Linked DNA regions of Nothobranchius furzeri. The protein of the gene in region 1 purifies or fractionates together with the protein of each later gene. This does not show direct contact. Links are inferred from orthologs where the notes say so. Each region holds a gene or a part of one and is shown on either strand. Other genes may lie near its edges.

Region 1 (11,151 bases):
GTACAGCCATTTAGGAAGAAAACCTGCAGGGTGCACACATCTCATTTTCATCTCCAAAAAAGGCTTCTTCTGCATGGAAATGAAGAATGGGGGGGGGGGGGGGGTGTAAGCTTCAGTAGGTCTGCCAGAAAGGAGCAAATGGAAAATGTTTTCCATTAACATAAATCAGAACTGTGTGATATTTAGAGACCCCAGCTGACTGTTGAATAAAATCAAATACAGCATCAGCAGCAAAACAATGCTAGATTCAGACTGATCTGCCCTAAGCTTCCAGTGACTGGAGCCTCTTTGCCTTCTGGTTCTGGTTCTGGTTCTGGTTCGTGTGTGTGTGTGTGTGTGTGTGTGTGTGTGTGTGTGTGTGTGTGTGTGTGTGTGTGTGTGTGTGTGTGTGTGTGTGTGTGTGCGTGCGTGTGTGCGTGCGTGCGTGCGTAATACCTTATCGTTTCCTCCTCCTGGTAGAGAGAGCTGACTGCTGCACCTCCAAAACCCGTTCGTCTCTCTGCTCCTCGTCTTTCCTGTGAGAACGATTCACTTTTCACCCAGCACAATCCAGTTTTCACACATTTAACATTTACAGATATAAAAGATCAACCAACTGTAGCTGGGACCAGCAGCGTATGACCCCAGCTTTTCTATAGGCCCAGTATAATAGAGCTGGGCCCATCTATTCACCATGAAGAGCCCCACCTGTACCCCCTCACCTACAGCCTGGCATCATGTTAAATCAAAAAGGTGCAATTTTGTAAATAAATACATGAAACCTCTCTTGGGCTTTAGGCTTGACCACCTTCATAATAAATAACCAACACGATGAATGCAAACGGGATTGAACATATTGCCCCTGTGACTCTTGTTAATCTTCTGCTTCTTCTTGGAGCTCCACATTCATACAGCTCAACAAAGACTTTAATACCCAGACCATTCTTTCCTAACCAACCTTGACTCACAAAAGAACCTGCACAAATCTGATTCTAGAAAATGGGGAGAGTACGGCAGGAGAAGCAAAACAACTGTGCGTGCACTTTTGGGACAAACTAATTCACTTCAGAAAGTCTGAATATTCGCTGATGCACTGGCCCTGCTCCTCTGCACCATAATGTAATATAAAGCCAGTGTCTGCTCAACAATTGAGAGGGGGACAGAGGTCAAATTGTGGCTATTATTCTCTCCCCTGCTTCTCTGTCTATGCACTCCGACTTACACCATTTAACTGTGCTTCCAGAAGAATAGCTACTGCCATGCAATGATGCTTTGTTAACACTAATGCAATCAGGCTCTTTTTTAGGCGGGTAGGAGGTATGTGCGTTTGCTAGGCTGCCTCTGTTATTGAGAAACTGTGAGGCAGAGTCAGCAAGTCATTCCCCGCAGAACATCTGAAGAGCATTGTGCCAGGATTTGAAAAGTGGCGGACAGTGACACTATTAAAAAAGAACATGAATGAGAAAGAAGAGCAAAGGAAAGATGGAGGAAATGGTTAATGGGGTCAGAGATGAAAAGAGACAAGAGGAAAAATATGAGTGCAGAGAAACACGATAGTACAATAGTAACAAACTTACTGGGTTCATACTGAATTAGTACATTTTGTGGTTTTCTTGAGTTTTAATAATTTTTCATGCTGCAGTTTAGCCACAACAGGTCCTAATTACGACTCCATTTATTTGCAGTTTACCTTTCTTTGATTCACAATTTGGTCACAAAGCTTTCCCAAAGTTGTCTCACATATTTCACACTTTCTACCAACCAACAGCGACTCTGAGACTGTTAAACTTGTGGCACAATATATCTGAACAAACTCTTGAAATTCCAGCTGCATAAGAGCGTAAATCTGTGGCTCATGAGAGGAAAATGAAAACGTTGATGAATTTTGTCTGTAATCTGTCACAAACAGTCACAAGCCAGTGAGTTGCTGGCTTTAGTTTGCAGAATCTGTAGAAAATCCCAAAGTTGTTTTTCCCCAGTTTAATAAATAAAAAAATGGACATGTAAAGATTATCTTTTTTCTCCTCCGCAGCCATCAGTTTTTTTGATTGTGTTACCTGTTTATATCACATTCCATTAAAACACATCAGTGACCGGTTTAAATTTTTTATATAGAAAATATTTTTATGCCCCCTCACGTAACATCCAACTTTAAAAATGACTCGGAAGTCAAACTCCGGGTAAAGAAATGTGTTTGAGTGTTCCGTCAGCTTCAAGACCTTTGCTGGTTAGGAGTGACTACATTTAACAACACAAACACAACATGAGGTTTTGTGTCAGAGATCCAGAAAATGATTTTAATTAGAGATGCACCAATCCCGGATCTCGCTTGAGCGGTTCGCAGCCGAGTGTGAAGCAGCTGGAATGACAATCAGCTCCTCTAAATCTGAGACCATGGTCTTGAGTCAGAAAACCTCACCTATGGTCACGAGCTTTGGGTAGTGACCAATAAAATTAGATACAAGCAGCCAAAATGAGTTTTCTCCGCAGGGTAGGTGGGCTTTCTCTTAGAGAGAGGGTGTGAAGCTTGGTCATAAGAATAAGAATACCTTTATTAGTCCCTCAGTGGGGAAATTGCAATATTGCAATGGCTCAGGTACTGCAGGATAGCAGCAGTAGCACACAAGATATCGCACAAGAGTACATAATAAGTTAAGATAATTATTGCACATGGTAATGAGAGTAGTAGTTATATTGCACGCGTTTTGAAAAGATTATATTTGCAGTGGAAGGTTACAGATGTATGGCTTCTGTTAGCAGTGACTATTATAGTCTAACAGCAGCAGGGAGGAAAGATCTGTGGTATCTCTCCTTCGTACAGCGAGGGTGGATCAGTCTGTTACTGAAGCTGCTCTCCAGAGCAGACAAGGCATCCTGCAGGGGGTGTGACTCATGGTCCAGGATGGATCTGAGTTTTGCCAGCACCCTCTTGTCCCCCACCTCTCGTACAGAATCCAGAGGACAGCCAAGGACAGAGCTGGACTTCTTTGTCAGCCTGTCCAGCTTCTTTCTCTCCCTCTCTGTGATGCTGCTGCTCCAACACACCACACCACACAGGATTGCTGATGCCACCACAGAGTCGTAGAAGGTCTTCAGGTGTGTCCCCCTCACCCCAAAAGGCCGTAGTCTCCTCAGGAGGTGGAGCCTGCTCTGGCCCTTCCTATACAGTGCATCTGTGTTTTGAGACCAGTCCAGTTCGTTGTTCAGGTGAACACCCAGGTATTTATAGGAGTCCACTCTCTTGATGTCTGTTCCCTGGATGTTCACTGGTGAGGGGACAGCTGGTCGGCGTCTGTGAGGATCCACCACCACCTCCTTTGTTTTCCCTGCTTTATCAGGAGGTGGTTTTACTGGCACCAATCGACAAAGTCCTGCGTTAGTCCTCTGTACTCCACATCGTCGTCCTCGATGATCAGTCTGACAATCGCAGGGTTGTCTGAGAACTTCTGCAGGACACAGCTGTCCATGTTGTGTCTGAAGTCAGAGGTGCAGAGGGTGAAGAGAAATGGAGCCAGGACAGTGCCCTGGGGCACACCCACACTGCAGGTCAGCGGGTCAGACACACAGTCCCGGGCTCTCACAAATTGGGGCTGGTTTGTGAGATAGCTCAGGATCCACTCTGCCAGGTAAGGGTCCAGCCAAGCCCTCTCCAGTTTAGTTTTTAGAATCCCTGGCTGGATGGTGTTAAAAGCACTGGAAAAATCAAAGAACATGATTCTCACAGTGCTGCCAGGTTTCTCTAGGTGGGCCAGAGCACGATGTAGTAGACAAGTGAATGCATCTTCTACTCCAACCCCTGGTTGGTAAGCAAACTGCAGTGGATCCATCGAAGGTCCCACAGTAGACCGGAGGTGTCCCAGGATCCGTCTCTCCAGTGTCTTCATCAGGTGGGATGTGAGAGCCACTGGCCGGTAGCTACTGAGCTCATTAGCTTTTGGTGTCTTTGGCACTAGAACCACACAGGAGGTCTTCCAGAGCTGTGGTACCACCCTCAGCTTGAGGCTCAGGTTGAAGACATGCTCCATAACTCCACTCAGTTCATCTGCGCAGGATTTAAGGAGCCTAGAGCTAATGTTGTCAGGACCAGCAGCTTTTTTTTTTGCTTTGATCTTCATCAGCTCTCTCCTCACCTGGCCTGCTGTAAAGGAGAGGGGTGGGCAGTGCAGCTCTGTACTGGAGAGGGGGCCGAGTCCTGCTGGGGGGTGCATGATGGTCTGAATGGAGGTCTGAATGGAGGAGCCAGAGGTGTGAAGGGCTGTAGCTGTAGGGGGCCGTCCAGGTGTGGAGTTATTTGAATGCAGCTGTGTGGGGGTAGGGGTGGGTGCTTGGTCAAACCTATTGAAATACAGGTTTAGGTTGTTGGCCCACTTCAGGTCCCCCTTCCCCCTGTGAGTGGGGTGTTTTGAAGCCAGAGATGGTTTTTAGGCTTCTCCACACCCTCCACACCCCACTGATGTTTTGTTCCTGTAGCTGCTCCTCCATTTTCCTATTGTAGTTGGCCTTCCCCTCCCTGATCTTCCTCCTCAGCTCCTTCTGAACGGTTCTCAGCTCCTCCTTGTCCCCAGATTTGAAGGCTCTCTTTTTCTCCTTTAAGAGAGTTTTGACGTCGGGGTGATCCATGGTTTGGTGTTCGCGAAGCACCGCACCGTCCTGGAGGGAACAGTGTTCTCAAAACAGAAGTTTATGTAGTTTGTGATGCAATCTGTGATGGCGTTGATGTCCTCCCCATGTGGATCACAGAGTTCTGTCCACACCGTGGTGCTGAAGCAGTCCCTGAGAGCCTCCTCACACTCATCAGTCCACCTCCTCACTATACGTGGGGCCACAGCCTGCCTGTGCCGAATATGCTTCGTTGGTGTTGGCATAAAACAAGTCCAGTATTTTATTGTCTCTGGTGGGACAGGTAACATACTGCGTAAATGTGGGCAGAACAGATGACGGAGAAGCATGGTTGAAATCCCCAGAGATGAGAAAAAGGGCCACAGGAGGGGCTCGGAGTAGACCCGCTGCTGCTCCATATCAAGAGGAGCCAGTTGAGGTGGCTGTGGCATCTAGTTAGGATGCCTCCTGGACGCCTCCCTGGTGAGGTTTTCTGGGCACGTCCAATCGGGAGGAGACCTAAAGGGAGACCCAGGACATGCTGGAGGGACTCTGTCTCTCAGCTGGCCAAGGAACGCCTTAGGATTCCCCCGGAGGAGCTGGCCCAAGTGGGCCATATATATGTATGTTTATTTATTTGGCATATTTATTTTGGGGGGGTATTTTTAGGATGTATTTACCTCAAAGTTGAGACCGTAAAGAATGTAAGAAATCAAGAAGAAGAAGAAAATATAATTTCTATAGCGCCTCTCAAGATAAAAATCACGAGGCGCTTCACAAAAACAAAAAAAATATTAAAATATAAAAAAGCATTTAGAAAATGTTTAAAATATATTTAAAATGAGCAAAAATAGGCAATTGGGACTTAAAAGAAAAAATGTTAAGAAAGAGAGAGAGTGAATAGGAAAGAGGGAAATCAGTGGATCCTGAGGAAGGTGGAATAGGTGGGGAGAGCAGAATAAAGAGAGAGTGGTGAAGAAGGTCATACAAAATCGAGCTTGAACAAGTGAGTCTTCAGCTGCTTTTTAAAGGAGTTCACTGAGTCCACTGATCTCAGACTCAGGGGGAGAGAGTTCCAGAGTCTGGGGGCCACAGCAGCAAATGATCTGTCACCTTTGGTCTTTAGCCTGGTGCTGCACAACCAGTAGGCTTTGATCACTGGACCTCAGGGACCTGCTGGGGGTGTAGGGACTAAGAAGATCACCAATGTAAGATGGTGCTTGTCCATGTAAGGCCCTATAGACCAGAACCAGGATCTTGAAACGAACCCTGAAGTTGACTGGCAGCCAGTGAAGCTGGAGGAGAAGCGAGGTGATGTGGGTGTCAACTATGTAACACTGACATCTAGTGGCCCCATCTCTGTTAAACATCCATCTACTTCAGCAGAGGGTAATGAAGTGATACAGCAAACCCAAATTTAAATTAGATTAAATTACAAAGAGAGAATTATTTATTTATCAATGGTTCATAAGATCAATAATAGAACAGCATGTGTTTCAGACAAAGTGATTTAATTAAAATAATTATCCTCACATTGTTAAATCAGGTAGGCTTAAGGAAAATACTAAAAAGGTCATCAAACCTCTTGGTTCTATTCTTAAAACATTTTACTTCTCAAATATCTTTGAGGATTTGAACTATTTGGAATTTATTTCTTTTTTAAAACAAATTTCAGAAAAACGTTTGAATGAGCAGCTCTGGTTCTACCTTTGTGGTGCCTTCTGGGTCTAACACATTGACACAGGTAATGTACTCTCGCATCGCTTGCTCAGCGTCCATGTCTCCAAGCTGCTTCCAGGCTAGCCTGTGGTGAAATCACAAACTCCATCACAATCCTGTTCAACAGTCAAGGGTGTGAGGCTTCATCTGGACCGAGATTTTCTTAAAAGGTCCATTAAAAGGTCAGGAAACTTTCACAATACAATAAAACCAATGATTGGAAAAGTAAAGGTCCTGCCAAAGAAAATCTGAATATAATGGTACATTTTAAGAAAGACTTTTACTTGTTACACCGTTTTATGATTGCATTTCAGGTAAAAGTATCTGGGTACATTTGTGGGTATAAGTCCTTTAAAAGACAACAGGCTAAAATATGACTAAATACTCTCTTCATTTTCACATGTGAGGGAATTATTTTCCCTTTTGTATGCACATGCTACTAATTTAATTTAAAAAATACATAAACTAGAAACTAATTCCTATATTTCAACGAGGCCAGCGAGTTTAAACAACATACCATTTTCTCTGCCCTTCAAAATCAAAGAAACCAGGTTTTGGGGTGTTGCACTTCCCTACTTTGACCTGAAAACAAAACACACACATAATTAATCTGGTTGCTGTCCCATCTGAACCTGGATCACTGTTATAAACATGTTTGGAACAAACACTCCTTCAGAGTATGTGGCTGTAGTTTCATCTGAAGCCACTAGGGGTCACTAACTACGCCAGACGGACACACTCGTATGGTTAAAACTGGTGTTGAAAATGTGACACTCACCTGTTTAAAACGAGCATACAGGTACAGCAGCTGGTCCCTGCTGGCCGTCTGAATCAAGTCTCTCACTCGGTCAGCTGCAGACTCAAACTCCTGCTCCAGTTCCTCTCCCTCCATTTCCTCCGTCATCTCCACGGCACTACAATCAAATTTACTCAAACCCAAGTCCGAGTCCGAGTCTGAACCCGCTCCACCAAGAGGCTCGCCGGTATCGGGCCGCGCTGGATCCGTACCCGAGCCCGTCGCAGTGTCCGGGGAGGACGAGGGTGAACCAGAGGCCATTGTTATTGTTCACAACGCGCTGTCCTATAAACCACAACCACCAGAAATCCCCGAGTGGAAAGCAGCCGCAGAGAAGCTGTCAGATATTTATTTGTAAAAGTATTATTATTATTGCTAATAACGCTTTTAATCCGTTATCGATGCCAGACTCATTTCTACGGTAAGTCCGTGTTTAGTCCTTTCATCAAAAGAGGTCGGCGCAATCTCTAGCCAAGAAGAAAGGTTCCGGAGCTGTGCAAATAAACGCACCCATGATGTGTGACGTATTTCAGGTCAAATCCAGGTCAACTTGAAAAATGGCTAAATTCATATTTTGTATGGTTGGATATTAAACCAACCAGGTTCCAAGCAGAGCTTCAATTTGCAACAAGAAGAAATGGGAGTGAGACAAAACATTTTGACTAGAAATGTACTGAAAATAACTTAAAATCAAGCACGCTGTTTACATGTATGGCACATACAAAATGTGCATTCACACATCTGTTGATGCTCTTTCATGAGGAAGGTTTGTTTAAATTTTTTTTGACACAGTTAAAGGGGAAACAAATTCTGTGTGGAGTTGTGATTATTACGTCTGCTGGGGTGTGACTTTTTGATCAGCTGTAAAACAGCCTGTTTTAGTTTAAGCATTGTTTTCAATAAATTACATGCTCAAAAATGCTTTGTCTCTTTAATTTTTTCTTGTTGATGAATCTCTACTTGGAAACTCGTTAGGATCCAACCATGCCAAATATGTTTCTTGGCCATTTTCAAGTGGTCCTAAACTTTTGATTGGGACTCTGTTTTTTATTTACTTACATTGCACTTCTCCACCATTACATTTGTGTACATACACATAAACAATAAATTTAATTAGGAAATGTTATTGATACACAAAGTTGAAACAAGCAACAGCAGAAATGAGACATCCAAAATTATTAGGCCCCTGGCTATCAATAGTTCCCCCTTTCTAGCCACAACTGACAACAATCTCTTAGAGTAGTTCTTTTCTAGGTTGGCACAGCTCTCCATAAAGATTTTGGTCCATTCTTCCTTTACAATTTGTTGTAGCTGGCTCAAATCACATGGTTTCCAAGCTTTTATTCACTTTGCGCACCCACCACAGATTCTCAGTAGAATTGAGGTCAGGGCTCTGTGTGGGTCAGGATCTTGGTTTTGATGTCCTTAACTGTTGGATATTCATGTATTATTTGGGTCATTGTCTTGTTGGAGCAGCCAGCAATGACCTAAGCCTAGACTACAAGCAGATTTCTGCATGTTCTTCCTCAGATTTTTTTCACGACACTTGTTTCATGACACCAAACAAGGCTCCCTGTGCCTAAACCTGCAAAACAACCCCTCAGTATATGCTCCCACCACTGCGCTTACCTGTGGGAACTGTGATGGTTGAAGGACTCTCTCGCTTTTTCTTTGCCAAACGCAACATCCATTTGCCCAAACAGTTCCACTTTAGACTCATCAGACCAAAGGACAGACTTCCAAAACTAATATTAATCTTTCAAACGGGCACATTTCAGTCAGGCTCTGATGTGTAGCTCGTAGGGTAAAGGGGTTCTGCTGGCCCTATGATGACGAGCCCTCACAACTGTGTTCCTTGAAACGCCGACGCCAGAAGAGGCCAGGTCAGCACCAATCATCATGGCAGATGTCCGAGGCTCCTTGCTGATATCCCTAACTACCTCTCTCTCCAAAGTTCTTGAAATCTTGCTCTTACAGCCACGTTCAGAGTTTGTTTCTTACAGAATTTGTCTCCTTGTACTTGATCTTGATGCAATGTACAATAGTTCGACTCCTAGACTGTAAATAATTGGAAAGGGCAAGGTAGTCCTCGACCTTTTCACAGGCCATTTTCTTTCTGTGCTCCAGACTGATTTCTTTTGTCTTTGTAGGCGTTGTAGTCCCTGTCATGTGCTCAATTGCCCTGTTCCTTGGAGTCTTTTTATAGTGACTGAATGTTGTTAGGAAGCCAGTTGACTGCACAGTTTCAAAGCTGATTGGTTAATAACTGTTGGTGTGAAAGCAAACATTCTCATGCTGATATTTCTGAAAACCCTATTTTTCACTATATTTGATATAAAGCAGGCATAAAATGTTATTTTACATTACAAAATGTACCAAAGGCTTCCAAACAACACTCACAAATGTTTGATTGTATCAAGTTTCATCAATGTTGTAAACATTAGGAATAAGTTTAGGGAAATATTCCATAATTGCTCATGGGGCTAATAATTTTAGTTTCATCTGTTTATTTTTTCATTAATATCTTTGTTACTGTATTATACTACTGTGCATTTACTCAACATTACACTTGTTCAATATATTTTTTTTAATCAAAGATTTGAGATTGGAAACTTTTATTTGTCCAGCCCAGGAAATATTGTATCACATCGTAAAATCCACACTATTATGGTCCAAGGGTACAAAAACATAATTAGACTAAATATATTAAAATAAATGTTTATCAAGGATCAAAACGCCAGGAGTTTCTTCCATCTGTTCACTATTTGTTAACAAAGTTGCCTTTGGATGTCACGCCCAACTGGAATACCTTTACTGGCACAACACCGGCTGTACTTTTGTCCAGGCCTTGTCCACAGGTCGGAAATCACGAGCTGGAAACTGAACAGACAATTAATTTTCTATATTTTAGTCATAATAAACAAGCAATACTTTACTTATTAAAAATGACTTACACATGCTGTAGAAATAAATTGCGTCAGTTTAAACTCGTCAGAAACACTATGAAGCTATACAGCTATTTGAATAAATTAAGCAATCATAAAATCTACTTGTTTTCAAAACTAATTTTATTAGAAAAATGCTTGGGTTGCAGATCAACTAACTAAAATGGAAAGTTGTAATCATTTGTAAAGGAATAAAGAAGATGAATTAAATCAGAGCTCAAAACAGTTTATTCTCACAGCAAGACACATTTAGTCATTTCTCAACAATATAGTCAGTCTTCAAGGTAACATTTAGATGTAATACAGATAGATGATGTACACATTGCATTTATTTTCTTCACTTTTTCGAGACTTTAACCGTAAATGCAATGGCTTATTTAGTCCAGCAGAGGGTGCTTTTGGCGTACGGATTTGTGACTGCAATAATCACAGAAATGTTGACTTGTGGAAAAATAAAATGCTTCAACCATAGTATAGTATCAACCAATACCGTTCTTTTGCACGGCATTTACCTCAGACTAATATCTTTTTATCGTATTTTTAATTTTAATGTTTGCTTATTTGTTTTTTTCCCTAAAAGTTGTTCTTCAATCTGAAAACACAAGCGTTTGTCAAACAAACAATTTGTCATCCCATTTACAGATAAAACATCGCGCTGCTTTGTTTACAACTATTAACAGTTGCAGAAAAAATACTTGGTCTATAAAAAATATCAATATTATTTACAAAAATGTGAAAGTTTATGTTTTTAATAAAAAAGATTTATCCTACTTTTCACTCGCATGTATAGGCTCCTAATGCCTAAGCTGGGACATCAGTCAGAATAAATCTTTCTTAGTATTTATTAACAGTTGCAGAAAAAATACTTGGTCTATAAAAATATCAATATTATTTACAAAAAATGTGAAAGTTTATGTTTTTAATAAAAAAGATTTATCCTACTTTTCACTATAGGCTCCTAATGCCTGAGTTGGGACATCAGTCAGAATAAATCTTTCTTAGTATTTGTACTCTTTTGTGGGCAGGAAAATACACATTGAACTTGAAATAAAAAATATATGTAGCTTTTCGGGTGTCCGCTTGGGCACACACGTGTTTTGATTTAGAAACGTG
Region 2 (10,608 bases), on another chromosome or scaffold:
ACATATTGAGGAAATAGAAGACCACAGGTACAGTTCAAGTTAAGGCTCCAAGTGGCAGAGCAAGAACAATCTCAGATAAACAGAAGTGAAGAATGGTGAGAATAGTCCGAGCCAACCCACAGACCAAAGACATACAACATCATCTTGCTGCGGATGGAGTCGATATGCATCATTCAACTATTCAGTGCACTTTACACAAGGAGATGCTGTATGTGAGAGTGATGCAGAGGAAGCCTTTTCTCTGCCCACAGCACCAACAGAGGTTTGCTAAAGCACATTTGGACAAGCCAGCTTCATTCTGGAATAAGAAAATGGTCCAGAATACCTTCAGCCTCTCTGTCTGTCTGTCTGTCTGTCTGTCTGTCTGTGTGTGTGTGTGTGTGTGTGTGTGTGTGTGTGTGTGTGTGTGTGTGTGTGTGTGTGTGTGTGTGTGTGTGTGTGTGTGTGTGTGTGTGTGTGTGTGTGTGTGTGTGTGTGTGTGTGTGTGTGTGTGTGTGTGTGTGTGTGTGTGTGTGTGTGTGTGTGTGTGTGTGTGTGTGTGTGTGTGTGTGTGTGTGTGTGTGTGTGTGTGTGTGTGTGTGTGTGTGTGTGTGTGTGTGTGTGTGTGTGTGTGTGTGTGTGTGTGTGTCTGCTCTGTCTTCTCGATCCCCAGTGAGTCGTGGTAGATGGCTGCTTATACTGAGCCAGAATTCTCTGGAGGTTTCTTCCTGTTAAAAGGGAGTTTTCCTCTTCACTGTCGCTTTATGCTTGTTTAGTATGAGGATTGCTGTAAAGTCACTGACACTAGTCAGTGACTTGATGCAATTTGCTGGGTTCCTTATATAGGAAACATTATTTCTGATTGGCTTAATGAAATGACCTGAATTTGAATGTTTATCATGTGAAGTGCCTTGAGATGACTCTTGTCGTGATTTGGCGCTATATAAATAAACTTGAATTGAATTGAATTGGAAGCTATAGGAAGTGTGTAGCTTATGCACCTGCCTAATTTTGTTTAAAAGATTATTGCACACTTTCTGTAAATCCTATAAACTTTGTTTCACTTGTCAAACACCACTGTGTGTGTCTCCTATATGACATATTCAACTGAGATTTTTTAAATTGTAATAACCAACAATTAATACAGGAAATCATGAAGATTAACGAGGCTACTGTGTGTGCGTGCGCGTGTGTGTGTGTGCACGCGCGCGAGTGATTGAGAATATATGATTTGGGAGTCTTGTGACTTCACTGACCTATCGGAATCAAGGATTCGACCATAACTGTAGACATGGTAAATGCTTTAGTCAAACCACTTGGAAATTCAAAATAATGTGTAACTCACCATTCAGAGCCTCATATCACTGACAGAATAGAGCCTTCTCCAACAACAATGGTCTTACTTTCACAATCCAACATAATAGATTGCAGAAACCATTAAAAAATTTCCTCAGATGCTCATAATCCCTGTTAGCATCCAATGTTAGCTTCTTCCCGGACCAGCAGGTGTAGGGCTACCCACTCTCTGCTGAGGCAAATTCATCAGCTATTGGCTGATAGGTTAGAAGTACTAACCCTCTGGTCTGGTGTGTAGCGTCAACGAACTATGGCTCAGTTTATGATTTATTGAAGCATCAACTAGCCAGTGAAATTTAGATAGAAGCAACGTCTCATTTGAAGACCTTGCAGCTTGCTTCTGCAAAGGGAGTAAAAACATTAGTGAATGGTGGAGCGCTCTATGCAGTGTGCCGGCCCACAGAACCTCTTAACATCTCCTGTGCCAAAATCACACGTCATCATTTATTTGGGACTGTCGAATATCGCTTGAAAATGACCCAACCTTAGTGTGTATCGGTGCATGTTTTGTTTTTAATTCATGAATGAAAAATGTATAACTACTAATGACAGATGTTGGAAAGATGAATTATTTTTGTGTAATTGTTTATTTTCATAACATTTAAAACTTACTGGTGCTTTATTTCTGCTTTTATCGGTTTAAAACCAGCTCAAGGAGCTTTACACTCTTCTCAATGAAAACTATGTGGAAGATGACGACAACATGTTCAGATTTGACTACTCTCCTGACTTCTTGCTCTGGTACAAATGAAACACTTTCAGCTTTACACTTGCAGCAAATGTTAAAGTAACTGAATATTTTTAAATGTATGTAGTTACTCATTACACTGCTTAACTGGTCTTCAAATCCGTTTCCTGCTCAGGGCCCTGCGGCCTCCAGGCTGGTTGCCTCAGTGGCATTGTGGAGTAAGAGTGAACTCCAACCAGAAGCTGGTCGGGTTTATCAGCGCTATTCCAGCCAACATCCACATCTACGACATGTAAGGAAACTCTGTAGCGTTGAGTAGACCGTTCAGGTTGTGTCTCAGTTACCTGAAAAGTGTGGAACGCTGAAAACTCATTTTTAAATCTTATTTCTGATAATAGGTCACAGTTTTTTATGCAGGCTGAACATGAAAATAATCTCCTACACCTATCTCCTGCATTAGCTTCTGATAGAAAATTGATGATGAAACTCTAGGATTTGGAAAATCCTGACAGATCTACGTCACACTGTCACTGAACATTCATGGACTCACCCATCTTGACTCACAACGAGGAAGGCTGTTGTTGGTTTAGCGTCCAGGAAACGGCAGAGAAGATCTCAGCTAGTAGAAGCTAACCGTTAGTTTTAGCATCTCCGCCACACAGCAGAACTTTGTCAGGCTTGAGTTGTTTGTGGAGATTAAACCTCAACGTTGCAGAGCAGAGTCAGTGGTAGTCACATTGCTGTTATCCAATCAGAGGTGAGATGTCCAGAAAAAAATCCTAAACCTGCCGTCTGACGCTCAGCTCTGATGCGGCTCACTTCTAGTTCCTGAATATGGTGCGCCAGAGCTCCCCCACCACCTTCCAAGTCATTCATTCCTACTCGAGACCTCTGCAAACGTATTTGTTTAATGAGTGATCCACACCTTGAAGTAGTCATGGAAGTTCTTCATAAATGTCAGTGAATATTTCACAGCATACAAGTCTGACGTAACCGTTTTCTTTTTAATGTTTGTTTTTCTTAGAGAAAAGAAAATGGTTGAGATCAACTTCCTCTGTGTCCACAAGAAGCTTCGCGCCAAGCGAGTGGCTCCAGTTCTGATCAGAGAGATCACTAGAAGGGTCAACCTGCAGGGTATCTTCCAGGCGGTGTACACTGCAGGAGTGGTGCTGCCCAAACCGGTGGGCACGTGCAGGTTTGTCTGGCAAATAAACCTTAGTTTTCATCTTTTACAGCTTTAATGATCATTAACTTCCACAGGTACTGGCATCGCTCTTTGAACCCAAGAAAACTAATTGAAGTGAAATTCTCCCACCTGAGCAGAAACATGACTATGCAGCGCACCATGAAGTTGTACCGCTTGCCAGAGGTGTGTGCAGAGAGACACAAATCTACACATGCTCCCCATTATACTTTGAACCTCCTGTTCACTGTATTTTCTCCTCCAGGCACCAAAGACTTCTGGTCTGCGACCGATGACCAAGAAGGACATCCCGGTGGTGCATCGCCTCCTCCGTGAGTACCTGAGCCAATTCAACCTGGTGCCTGTCATGAACCAAGAGGAAGTGGAACACTGGTTCCTCCCTCGGGAGAACATCATCGACACATACCTGGTGGAGGTAAAGTGTTTTAATTCAATATTCTTACAGATAAAAGAGCTTATTTTTTCATTTTTGATGTTTTCTCCATGCAGGCCGAGGGCAAAGTGACGGACTTCCTGAGTTTCTACACACTGCCATCTACTATAATGAATCACCCTGTGCACCGCAGCCTAAAAGCAGCGTATTCCTTCTACAATGTGCACACCACCACTCCCCTGATTGACTTGATGTCCGACGCCCTCATCCTTGCCAAATCGGTTTGTTTACATCTTATTAAAACCCAGATCTGCAGCTCAAGTTATAACGTGCATCAAACCAATGTGTTTTTCTTTGCCCGTATAGAAAGGCTTTGATGTATTTAATGCACTGGATCTAATGGAAAACAAGACTTTCTTGGAGAAGCTGAAGTTTGGGATTGGAGATGGCAATCTGCAGTATTATCTGTACAATTGGAAGTGTCCCAGCATGGGGCCAGAAAAGGTAATTTTTCTGGGATTACTTATTTGTTTAGTGGAACGAAAATAATAACAGCTACATTTTTATTTTTCTCCTTCTTGTGCTTTTTGTTGATGCTGAAAAATCTTAATTCCTAACCTAAACTAGTCAGCAGAGGATTGCAGAGTGTTGTCCATTGTGAAGTTGGTAAAGTTTCTACCTCAACAATCACTGGAACCCACTTGGAAAGCAATAGCTTAAAGAGTTCAAATCTCTTTGGTGTTGCTTTAAATGCTGAGTGATGCTGGTTAGTGATTATTAGGAATGTAAGAAAATATCGATATAGCAATATATCACAATATTTTTTCCTGTGATATGATATCGATGTTCAAAAGCTGTGTATCGATTTTTTTGGAAGAACTCACGTGTAAACATTTGTGTATTTTCTTTACTTTTGGTGCAAATCAAATGTCGTCCGCTAGTCAGCAGTAGTGTGCAATGGAGTTTGTTTCCACCACTGAAATGTAAATCCCTCTATTATGGTTCAGATACCTCATGTTAATCATGTCAAGTATCAGTTTGGACCACTTATTGAATTTTCCTACAATAATTTTAGTCTTAAAAATCGCTAATATTGCCTGACTGAATGTATCGCAATATATCGTGAAATATCGTATCGTCTCCCCTGTATCATGATAAGTATCGTATCACCAGAATTTCGCCAATACACATCCCTAGTGATTATAAAGTGTAAGTTTCATCTGAGCATTTAACGTAGTCCCACTTTAGTGGGAGCAGCTTTACCAAACAGGTGACAGGATGTTTCAAATGGATCTGGTGCTTTTCTTTTGGAAAAACAAAAAACACGTCGCTGACACAAAAATGCATTAACATGATTAAAAGTTGTCATTTCATCCCACAGATTTAAGCTAAAACCATCTTGTGATGAGAAGTGATGGAGGTATTTATAATTGTTTGGTCGAATCTTGAAAACAATCAGGGCTGCTTAAGACAATCTCACAAGATGCATGACCTGTGGTGCATCTGTAAAGGACTCACAGCTGCTAAATTACCACTTGGTGGACCCCAAACCCATCTTAGGTTAAACCTACAGTCTTGTCTAAAGAGCTGTGGCCTTCTGTTTTCTCCTCAGGTCGGGCTGGTTCTGCAGTGACATCTCCTTACAACGTCGGGAAAGTGTCGCCAACAGGCCTGAAGACCACACCACAGACTGATGATTTCCAGCTTTTGGAGAGGAAATCCACCACTCATTTTTACTTTTTGACCCTTTGAACTTTGACCTGCACAACTGCTGCCAGGCTGAGGGTTTGGGGAGCTCTTCTCCCTCCCTCCCTCCCTCCCATCCTCCCTCCATCACATGGACCTTAAGCCATCTTAGTGACCATTGCAAGCAACTGTATTTCATCTAAAAGCTGTTTTCCATTTGTACCAAACACACCAGAACAGTTGGCACAGATTACTGGTCACCAGAACACTCACTGTTGGCAAACCTACAAAACCTGCAGTACCTGTAAATAATATCAGACGTATCTGCGAAGAACGCCCTAGCTCCTGCAGAGCAGAACCTACTGTTTTATTCTACTCCTAATCATTGGAAGTGCTTTTTGCAATTAAACTAAATCTGTTCTTAAGTTTTAGACGTAACAAAATCAACATGAGCAGGAATATTCTAAAGAGAGAGAGAGGATGTAATAAATACCAAAAGTGGACATAAGATAAGGGCTTCTGTTAAGAGTTCTTTTTTCAACTTTGTATTTTATTTAATTTTGCTCCTCACCATCTGTTGGCATTCATGAAGGTGTCTCGGCACTGCTTGAAGTTATTACCAGAGTTGGCATGCATCCTCTGGAGCTTCATATTAACACTCATGGGCGTCCTTATCCAGCCCATCGTACCGACAAAAGAAATCCAGAAGCAAGGACAAATCAATCTCCGCTGATCACAGTTGAGCTGATACAGCTGATTCATTTATCAACGGGAATGAGGTTTACGCCAACACCTTTGGATTTAAGTGAGGCCCATTTGTGACTTCCACTGTTAAATACCACAAACCTGTTTTATTTTTCCAAAATATCTGCAAGGTTTCAGGTGGCAATCAGAAATCCAAAGTACTTCAGGGCACTTTTAAAGTTTTTTTTAAAGCTTAATAGATAACTAAAACCTCTGGCGGGAAATCTAAAAAAAATATTTAAAAGGTATTTGGTAAAAATGGAAATGACCAAATTATAAACAAGTTTGAGTGTACATGCAGCATCATGCTGAGCTCTAGCTGTATATATTGAGCTGGTTTGATCACGTCACCTGTTCAATTGGAATTAAATCAGATGTGACGACACACCAGAGTTTGTAGGCTACCAAGCATAGTTCAGCAGATCTTGCATACTGACTATGCAGTTGCTTTCAGAGGGGGGTGAGGTTTTATGGTCAGAATCTGGAGCTGGGCCTGTGAAATCGGTCTGGACTGGCAACACGTGCAGGGTGGATGGTGATGAGTGGGGAAGCACTCCTGTTGGGGTTTCTCGTGTAAAACGTGTGCTAAAGGATGTTTAAAAAAGGTGAGTCTTGCGGTGTTGTGATGCAGGAAATGAATGAGAAGATGGAGGTGATATTTTTTTTTCTTTTAAGCAAAATAAAATAAAATCTAGCAGTTGCTGTGAAGTTATTTGTAGTTTGTTATTTAAGAGAGCGTTAATTAAAGGTGAAATGTAGAAGTTGCAAACCACTTTTCACTGATCTGTTTGCATGACAACAGAGTTGCATGTTTCTGATTTTTAGTTTGAGGCTTTTGTTTTGGCAGTGGCCAAGGTTTAAGGTTACCGTTTATATTGGCTCCGGATCCAAAAATACGGCCTAAACTTGCAACCCTAAATATTTCATGTTGGTCAATATAAGCACAGCCTAAAAGTTCAACAATGGCAGAATGAAAACAGTGAGGAAAATATTATTTTAGGATTCTTTGCCCCATGTCAGTTCTATTTGATTCCATCTTAGTGACTCCCTAACTTTGGGAACCGCTCGAGTTTTGTTTTAATAAGGTTTTCATGACCAAAACGAAAACGTTTATTTTTTTAATCAAGCTATGCTAAATAGAACTGAAAACTTTTTAAAAGTCAAACCAAGTGATGTAATACTCTGTAGCGCTCATTTTGTTTAAAAACACTCGAAGGTGTTTATTTTCTAGGGCGAGTTTCCTTTTATAAAGGCTGTTCGACATGCCCACTCGTTTACTAGATAGGGCGCTGGTTCACGAGAACTGATCAGGAAGTAGTGAACGGACAAGCAGCGGGGAAGCGACTTTCTCTTTACAGTTGTTGATTGGTCCAAATAAATCGCGTCACATAAAGCTACGGCTGTGGTTGGCTGAACGAGCATAGGTGGTATTTTGTCTAGCCCATGAGGAAATGAACCCACAGTAGCTGGAGCTGTCATCCCGGTTACAGCTCCTTCAGAAAGGGGATAAAATGTTTGCGGTAGTAGCCATTATTTTAATATTTTTAGTGGTATTTGTTTTAAAACATGTCTTCGGCAGCTCCGGACCAAATCCCTTCGAGAAGGACTGTCGTGAACCGTTAAAAAAGATGGTTTTCGACAAAAAAGAGAGAAATAAAGTGCTGAAGCAAGGTGCGTGACGTTTAGCTGCGTAAATGTGTGTAGGATATGTGAACGACAGTGAGCTGTTTAAAAGTTCGGCTGCGCAGACCTAATCCTAGCAGTAAACATGTTTCCTATCTTTTGGACTTAAACAATTAGAAATAAAACGTTTGGTATAAATGGATCTTGATTTAATCAGAGAATTGGAATAAAAATACTGTCATGTGAAAAATAATCCAAATATATGTAACGCAATGAAAAAAAAATAGTATCTTTATAGGTGAAGTTTTCTTGTTTTAACTTTGTTTTACCTGATTTAATTTAGGTTTCCTGGCCTCCAAAGTACCAGAAAATCTTGATGCAATCATCATTGGGAGTGGCATTGGTGGCCTTGGACTGGCTGTGTTTCTGGCTAAAGTTGGAAAGAAAGTTCTGGTTCTGGAGCAGCATAGTCGGGCCGGGGGATGCTGCCACACGTTCACAGAGAAAGGCTTTGAATTTGATGTTGGTGAGAAGACGCATAACTGATTTCTTTTAAAGTTCAAAGCTGATGATGATTTTTCTAGTAAGACAGGTTTTTGTAAACAAACGCAGACAGGATGCAAGTTTATGTCCTGTATTGAAATTCTCCTTTTTTTATCACCCAGAAGTTGATAAGAACACAAAAGTCAGTCCTGACTAACAGTTGCTGTGCTGTTCAACCACAGGGATCCACTACGTCGGTGAGCTGTTAGACCACAAGCCTTTTCGCTGCGTGTTGGACCAGATGACCAATGGGCAGCTGCAGTGGGCACCTCTGGAGAACCCATTTGACCACATTGTTCTGGGACCTCCAGAAAACCGCCGCTGCTACCCCATTTACAGTGGCAAGACCCGCTTCCCCGAGGAGCTGAAGAAGTGTTTCCCAGGCGAGGAGAAGGCCATCGATGAGTACTTGAGATTGGTCAAGGTAGGATCCTTCAGCTCACTCGCACATGTTCTGGACAGTCGCTAGGGTCGCAGGTGGCTGGTGTCTGTCTCCACCGTATGAGAAGCAGAGGACTCTCTGGACAGGTCTCCGGTCCATCCAGGACTAAATGGAGTCACACAACTGTTCGCACACGGGTCGTCTGCTTGGAAAACCAGGGAAAAGTGTGGTGCAGCTGTACAGTGGACAGGTAGAGAGAATTGCTAAAGCTATTGTTAGGGATACGGGACACCCACTGCATGCCCAGTTTACTCTCCTGCCATCTGGACGGAGATTTATTGTGCCAAGGTGCAGGACCAAGAGGTATAAAATGAGCTTTATTCCCGAGGCAGTAACGTTAATGAGAATTGAGTCTGGTGTGGCTATTTTATATTATTTTTATTCACTTATTGTTTATAATTTTTATTGATGTGTGTGTTTTGTGACTGTGTGTGTAACCTGGGCTATTAATAAAGTTACCTTGACCTTGACACTAACTCACACTCAAGGGCAATTCAGAGTCACCAGCTAACCTAGCATGCACGCTTTTGACGATATGAATTAGTTCACTCACTGACTCAACATTCAGACGCCCTTTCCCTGAATAAACTTTGTGTTTAAATGCCGCACTTTGATTTCAGCTGATATTGTTGAATCAGACCCCCAGCTGCAGGATTACACAACATGTATCTGTGTGTGTGTGTGACTTTGACACACACACACAGATAAAGATCCTCCCACTTTTACTAACTGCACTTGTCATTTTAGTGCATCTATCTTCTTATTCACCTACGAGGTGGAAGGTGCTTCTTAATGTAGGCTAGATTCCTTGCAGATATTTCATAAACCACTGAATGAATTTCAACAAAACTTTCAGAAAGTAAGTACAGGGTATCCGCGGGTCCTTAAAAAGTCTTAAATTTGCTTTTCCAAATTTAAGGCCTTAAAAATCCTTAAAAATGACAAATAATCCTTAAATCCAGTTTCCAAAGGTCTTAAATGACCAAAGACCCAATAAACAAGATTCTTTTATTTCTATAAAATGTTTGTGAATTTCTAGTTGGTGTTCAGCATTTTTTGTGTATGACGCTGGCGTAAGCAGAACCATACACATTCAGTTGGTTGTGAAAGGGGACTATTTTTAGATGAGCACATTAGCTGGTTAAGCTAGTGGGAGCTTGCGCCATGGGGAAGTGCAAGTTTAATGGTAACTAGATGGCTAATCAGGCAATAGCTGGAAATTATAGCTTAAATTTAATTAGAAAAAATAGCTTAAATTTGTTCAAAGTGGCCTTAAAAAAGGTCTTAAAAAGTCTTAAATTTGGCTCCCTTAAACCTGCAGATACCCTGAATTATGGGATGTTCATCAACCCCTTTCAAGATGACCGCCCACTGCTGATTGACATTAGCAAACACAAACGTAGCTTTACCTCTGTCAGTCTTACAGATATCGCACATGTTCTGGACAGTCGCTAGGGTCGCAGAATTCTAACAGGTCAGCAGCGTGTAGCTCATCATGTTGTCAGGGTTTACCCAAAAGAGTCACCATACCAACTTTATTTATAAAGCACATTTAAAAACGGCATGGCAGCCGACCAAAAGTGCTGTACAGAATAAAAAATAAAAACACAACATAAAAACAAAACACGGTCAACAATAAAATACACAACAAGGCAGATAATCACGGTCAATAAAAAGACACATAGTAAAATAATAAAAGTCAGGGATTTTAAAATGCCCGGTCGTAAAAGTGAGCCTTAAGTAGCGACTTGAACCGGAGGAGGGATGGTGCCAGCCTCCCTGAAAGAGGAAGAGCATTCCAGAGTGTCGGAGCAGCGTAGACAAAAGCACGCCGCCCCCGCGTTTTGTATTTCATTGTTGGAACGCAGAGCGGCAGGCAATCAGCAGATGTCAACGCCCGGTTTGGCACATAACGAGTCACAAGATCAGACAGGTAATCCGGAGCCAGACCGTTCATGGCCTTAAAAACA

The links.
Region 2: the proteins of acbd6 (region 1) and nmt1a purify together in Homo sapiens (co-immunoprecipitation; 3 studies listed by BioGRID and IntAct, with this or other methods). This does not show direct contact. The link is inferred for Nothobranchius furzeri from reciprocal best matches to the Homo sapiens genes ACBD6 and NMT1.

What each region holds. Positions count from the first base shown.
Region 1 is NC_091748.1:57,391,182-57,402,332, forward strand, and holds the start of acbd6 (acyl-CoA-binding domain-containing protein 6), read right to left. Parts: upstream 7,569-11,151; 5' UTR 7,355-7,568; coding exon 7,076-7,354; intron 6,880-7,075; coding exon 6,815-6,879; intron 6,383-6,814; coding exon 6,286-6,382; intron 516-6,285; coding exon 436-515; intron 1-435. UniProt on the Homo sapiens protein: Binds long-chain acyl-coenzyme A molecules with a strong preference for unsaturated C18:1-CoA, lower affinity for unsaturated C20:4-CoA, and very weak affinity for saturated C16:0-CoA. Does not bind fatty acids. Plays a role in protein N-myristoylation.
Region 2 is NC_091745.1:11,793,976-11,804,583, reverse strand, and holds the end of nmt1a (glycylpeptide N-tetradecanoyltransferase 1), read left to right. Parts: intron 1-1,984; coding exon 1,985-2,076; intron 2,077-2,198; coding exon 2,199-2,315; intron 2,316-3,047; coding exon 3,048-3,218; intron 3,219-3,283; coding exon 3,284-3,392; intron 3,393-3,471; coding exon 3,472-3,642; intron 3,643-3,716; coding exon 3,717-3,881; intron 3,882-3,966; coding exon 3,967-4,104; intron 4,105-5,212; coding exon 5,213-5,233; 3' UTR 5,234-5,466; downstream 5,467-10,608. Other genes in the region: retsat.2 (all-trans-retinol 13,14-reductase), read left to right, coding at 7,542-7,701, 7,997-8,179, 8,379-8,620.